Xenopus tropicalis: one gene and its partner. The protein of the gene in region 2 binds, or shares a complex with, the protein of the main gene of each other region. Links are inferred from orthologs where the notes say so. Each region holds a gene or a part of one and is shown on either strand. Other genes may lie near its edges.

Evidence for each region.
Region 1: snrpd3 (region 2) and sf3b5 share a complex: the UniProt entries of both Homo sapiens proteins name them as parts of the minor spliceosome. The link is inferred for Xenopus tropicalis from reciprocal best matches to the Homo sapiens genes SNRPD3 and SF3B5.

The regions. Positions count from the first base shown.
Region 1 is NC_030681.2:58,017,666-58,019,802, reverse strand, and holds sf3b5 (splicing factor 3B subunit 5), read right to left. Parts: upstream 1,086-2,137; 5' UTR 1,084-1,085; coding exon 823-1,083; 3' UTR 508-822; downstream 1-507. UniProt on the Homo sapiens protein: Component of the 17S U2 SnRNP complex of the spliceosome, a large ribonucleoprotein complex that removes introns from transcribed pre-mRNAs.
Region 2 is NC_030677.2:152,605,376-152,609,135, reverse strand, and holds the start of snrpd3 (small nuclear ribonucleoprotein Sm D3), read right to left. Parts: upstream 2,483-3,760; 5' UTR 2,460-2,482; coding exon 2,334-2,459; intron 1-2,333. UniProt on the Homo sapiens protein: Plays a role in pre-mRNA splicing as a core component of the spliceosomal U1, U2, U4 and U5 small nuclear ribonucleoproteins (snRNPs), the building blocks of the spliceosome.

The DNA.
Region 1 (2,137 bases), on a different chromosome or scaffold from region 2:
CCAGCAACTTTGCAATTGATTTTCATATTTTTTTTTTTTTTAAATTACATGCTTTTCTCTTCTGCCTCTTTCCGTCTTTAAAATGGGGTCACTAACACTGCCAGACAAAAACCATTGATCTGTGTGGCAATGGTTGGTTTTTTTTCCCCTGTCTATGCAGGCTTTCTCCTATTCATATTCCAGTTCAAACCACTGCCTAGGGTAAATAATAGCAACCAGATAGATGTAAGAATATGAAAACTGAAAGCAACTCAACAAAAAGCTATATAAAAAAAAACAATTATGAAGCCTAATTGCAACTGACCCTAGGGTTGCTGGCTACTAAAAGCACCCTGACTACGTTTACCTTTTCCAGTTTTTTTTTTTTTTTTGGGTGGGGGGGGGGATGGGCAGCTAGATTCTCTTCAAGAACACCAAACATAGCACCCTGACAATAACATTTTACATACTTATTAATCTAATAAGTGAACCACAGTGAACAATTAAAAAACTAACAAGGGTATGTTGTACAAGGATTCAACAAGAGTTGATTGTTTTATTACAAGTGATAAGCAGTTGAAAGAAAAGCCTAGATTAGTCGTACAAGGATTTCGAAGAGACTTCAGGCAAATGCACAAACGTCCTCAAAGTACTTTATCACGGACTCCTGGAATTCAGAAACTCCATTTAGAATTAGCACAGTCCTGCTTTATGATACACGCCTGTTGATTAGGCGGGAATCTCTTGCTTAAGTCCCGGAAACTTTAAGACGAACGGCGATAAGTTTGATCGACTCCAAGAACTCCATAACAGGCAGCCTCAGAGAAGAAACCATCGCCACGCTTAAGAGTCGTCGGGCTTATCAGCTGGGGGCCCACACGGCTGCAGCATCTTCTCCATCAGGTTAAAACGTACCCGTGCTTTACTTTCGTTCTCAGCCACGGCAAAGTAATTGAGCAGATCAAAGTGGCCCATGTAGGAGCAGTAAGAGTCTCTGTGCTGGTTCACCAGCCACTCCCACTTAGTAGTATCCGCATGGCCCGTGCCGATATACTTGGACTGCAGATGCTCCAGTTGGCTGTGAATAGTATATCGGTCTGTCATGGCGATGGCAAGCGCTAACAGCAAGCTCACTGTACACGACTTGGTGTTATGATATGCAGCGGTAGCGCCTTTGGCTTCCGGAGGACAAAAGAAGTCAGCGTGTTACAGCAGCCGGAAGTTACGTTGCTTCCGGGAGTGACCAATATATCGACGCCGACTAAAATAAATAAAGTTTCGTAATTTTGTAGTGTTTTGCTCATTTTCGCTTCAGCGATTGGCCCGCCTATTTCAAGCGAAATCGAAACTCCCTGCATGCTCAGTTGTGGGACACAGGGAGAGAACAGGCGGAAAGCTGTATGGAAAAATATAAAGTGGTTGCAGTTGGGTCAATTCTATAGGAATAAACCATTTTTTGAATAGTAACCTCCGCAACATGTTAACACATGAAACAATACCCAGCGGCATATAGATTACTCGCCTTCCAACCTTTACCTTTAAAGTGATAATATCCGTGATTTTAGCACACAGTCTTGCGATTTATTAAAGTTATATAAAGGCAAGGGTTCAATGTCCCCTCTAATTTCTTCTCAGTTATGTACACAAAAAATATTTTGTGCGCACAGTTTTTAATTTTTTGCATTCAGCATGTGTTTGTAAATGCATACATTAAAGTGATGTTAGAGCCCTAAGGGAGCAACTAAGACACTACCCATTTTAGACATGTAAACTTTGGCAGTATAAGGGCATTTCTGGCACATAATAACTTGGAGAGGCTTTTCACAGGGTTAAACACCGAAGGGTTAAATTGACCTATCAGTATATTCCTCTTGTAACAAGCAAAGATCTATTAAAGAAAAATTATTTTTGCTTGAAAGAAAAAGTTAGAACTGAAGTAGGTAATAAATGTGCTTTAAAGTAATTCAAGCTTGTTGAATCATTTTAGGTCTGTTACACATGGGGGAAATTTGTGCGTTTGATCAAAGTAAGTTGTGCCTGCGTAAGGCAGCATTCTTCATTGCATGAACTTTGTAGTGCACATGAGCTGTTTGCAGATGTAAATGTCACTGATGATGTCAGAAGGAAAATGGCTGCCAGGTAAAAGACACTATTTGCT
Region 2 (3,760 bases):
AGCTTTAACGGGATCGTGTTTGACTTCACACTCATGTCTCCCCCTTGTTTAGCTCAAAGAATAGCCAAAACCATGTTCTTTTCCTGGGAGACAGCACCAAGAACATTCATACACAGTAGAAGAATGTTTAGAAGACCAGTCTTTGCAGTTTTAAATTTCCTTTAATGTATATCCAAGTTGCGTAGAATTAAATTTTTTCATTACAAAAACAGTTTTTGGCTGGAGGACCCTTTTAATTAAAATAGCCAAAAACAACCTATTTATTGTACAAGGTAATATACAGCTGCGTTAAAATGCTTTAGAAACACTGCTATAGTCTATACCAGTAATGCCCAACCAGTGGCTCCCAGTGGACTTTAAGCAGGTGCTTATTTTTTGTAATTTCTGGTAAGGAGGCAAGTTTCTGTTGCATAAAAACCAGCTGTATTGCCAGCACAATCCTGTAGGCTTCCAGTCCCCATAAGGGCTACCAAATAGCCAATAACAGCCCTTATTTGGCAACCCAAAAGAATTTTTTATGCTTCATTTGCTCCCAAACTCTTTTTACATTTAAATGTGGCTCACAGGTACAAAAGGTTGGGAAACCCTGGTCTATAGAAATAAAGCTGCATGGGGGCAGCTATTCAAACAAAGAGGGCTGAATGGCACAGGTGACAAAAAGATAAGCTCTGTAAAATACAATACAGCTTATGTAACCAGCACCTTTAGGGCTCTGGCACACGGGGGAGATTAGTCGCCCGCGATTAACTCCCTGTTCGCGGGCGACTAATCTCCCCGAGTTGCCTACCCCTGCCATCCCACCGGCGAACATGTAAGTCGCCGGCGGGATGGCAGACGTGGCGGCGCGATTTCGCGCAAATCGCCGAAAAAGACTCGCAAGTCTTTTTCGGTGATTTCCGGAAATCGCCCCGCCGCGTCTGCCATCCCGCCGGCGACTTACATGTTCGCCGGTGGGATGGCAGGGGTAGGCAACTCGGGGAGATTAGTCGCCCGCGAACAGGGAGTTAATCGCGGGCGACTAATCTCCCCCGTGTGCCAGAGCCCTTACTCAGTTTATCCCAGCTTGGATGGCTGCCCCCACTGATACACAGCAGCTTATTTATATGAACTATAGTAGTATCAGTGGGGGCAGCCATCCAAGCTGCTGTGTGTTACTGAAGCAAACACCAGTTCTACCAGTGCAGGGTAACACTACATCGTATTTTGATTACTTTGAAACACTTACATAGTTTAAAAGAATAGGAACACCAAAATATGTTACCGTTTGGCTTCTGTGGGTAGATAAAGGAGACTTTTCTCCATGTTAAAAGAGAAGTTTATACATGAACAACAGAAGAGTGCTTAGTAAAAAGAGCAAAAGGAAATTGTCACCCTAAATATTTTTTAAATTACACAACAGGAATGCAATACGGGTGTAGCCACACCCCACTAACTAGGCTCCTGTAACTAACAGTTTAAAAGTGCATAGCAACAACAGCATTTACATATTTTACTTCTGCTCCTTATCACTGAGCTTTACTGTGAATATACTGACATCTAGAGACACAGCTAGGAAATTGAAATAGATTAGGATTAAAGGAGACATTGTATAAAAATTAAGAATGTACCAGTAAATTATACTCCTCTAGATATAGAAGGACTGTGGTTTAAAAAAAATTGTTTTTTGGACTGTTTTATTGAGAAATTCCACCAAAACCCTAATAGTCCCGCCCATCTGTTCCACTTCCTGCTGGCTGGATAGGAACCAATCAGCAGCTAGGATGACCTGATAGGGAACTGAAGCCTGTCTCTGCTTGTGTGAGTGCTGGGCTGTGATTGCCTTCCCCCCTCCTACTGTGCTTCTGGCAGGGACCGTTAGGACACGCCCACCCTTCATTTTAAACAGGGACAGAGAACTGATAGGATCTACAGGGAGCTCCAATAAAGAGGCCATATTTACAGATGAGTATTTTTTAGCCCAAATGAAACCCGCAGCATATATTGTTCATAATTGTCTACAAAATTAGGTTTTTTTTTCCCCTATTTTTCCATGTCTCCTTTAAGCTATTTACGCTTCTGACCACAATATAACTGCTTCTTTTGCAATGGATAGGGTAACCGAGGCACTATATAGGGAATAAATAGGTGCCTTTTGGAAAATACTTTGCCCCTAACAATTCACACACACATTTTTAGTTTAACACAGCCTTTACAATTGTTGGTCCATAAGGTCTATCACTAGAGTTTATACTGCAATCACCAACGTACTTACAAACATGGCATAAGGTAAATATTTATAAGTTTAGGTGCACTTGCTATAGATATAATACGAATGACTTGCTTATTTTACTTACTTGGCAGTTCATGTTATCCTCTGCTTCAATCAATTTCCCCCTGTATACCTCTCCGGTGTTAGTTTCACATGTCACAATGTGGCCTTCTGCCTCATGAAGGACTTTAATTGGTACACCGATAGACATATTGAGAGCTAATGGAGATTAACCTGCAATTGGAGAAATAAAAATTAGCAAAAAAACGTGGAGAACATACAAAGCGCAACGCAGGTTACTGCATACAATGCAGCCATGTGCAAACTATAAGGTATATTCAAATAAAAATCCTTATTACATAATGTTTATCCAGCCTAAAGCTTTAATCACTTACAGTCTATAAATTCAGCCATACATATGCACACAAACATGCCCAGCCCTTCAGAAACACATGCACGTTAGGACATCGCAGCAGCACAACCCGCAGAAGCAGAGGAGTAACCCTCAATGAATGAGTTCCCTGGGATACTGGCACTGAGGCCTACACAAACGTTTCAGTGCCCCCGGCCTAAGGCAGGAATATTTATAGAAACGGATAACGGACTGGTAACACAGTGAGATGCGTTGGGCCCGGCACCCTGTATATAACCTCACCATAAGGCAATATTTAGAGGGAAGCCCTGCTCACACTCATACAAAGCTGCCAACCGCACAGACCTAAGGGAAAGCGAACAAGCGCCGAGTAACCGAGACGCACACCCCGCCCAGATATCCGCACGCTGCAACCCCCGGGCCTCTCTGACAATCCTGCAAAGCGCAGACTTTTTACCGAACTTTTGTTTGCTTTGGGTAATACTTACTAGCGTGGCTCTGTTCTGCGTTCTAATGGCGTCCCGCCTGCCCCACAATGCACAGCGAAAGGAAACAGGCTGTCGTATCTCTCTGCCCCCTTTTCCCGGCGACTGCACAAGCAAACAACTTCCGGTGGGAAACAGATATGAGTGACTTAGTTCCGCTCATCAACCCATTTATCTATTCACACCATTTAAGAGCGGCTAGTTGCACTGCAACTTTTCATATTATATATTATGAATTATTATTAAATATCTTGAGCTGAAACCTCCAATTAGACTCAGACGTGCAATCTGTGGATTGTGATAAATGCCAGAAGGGCTGCTGTAAGATGTCACAGACACTATTTATTGGGGTGATAGGGGGCTATTTGGGTATCCGCGTATAATTAAATGCCAAGGCCCCATTTCCAGTCCGCACCTGATCAGACTGTTTCTTTTAGTCTGCGCTTTTAATAGGTGCTGATTCTGACTTTATTAACTGAATTGGCAGACCGCTGGCATATGTATGGGCCCAGAATGATCAGGCTTATTTTGTTTATATATCTGCTGAATGCATTGTTTCTGAACTGCCAGAAAGCACATGCAACATTAAGTAAAATGGACAAAATGGCATCTGTGCACAAAAATGTACCCCTGCTCACTGCTGTAAAATGTAGA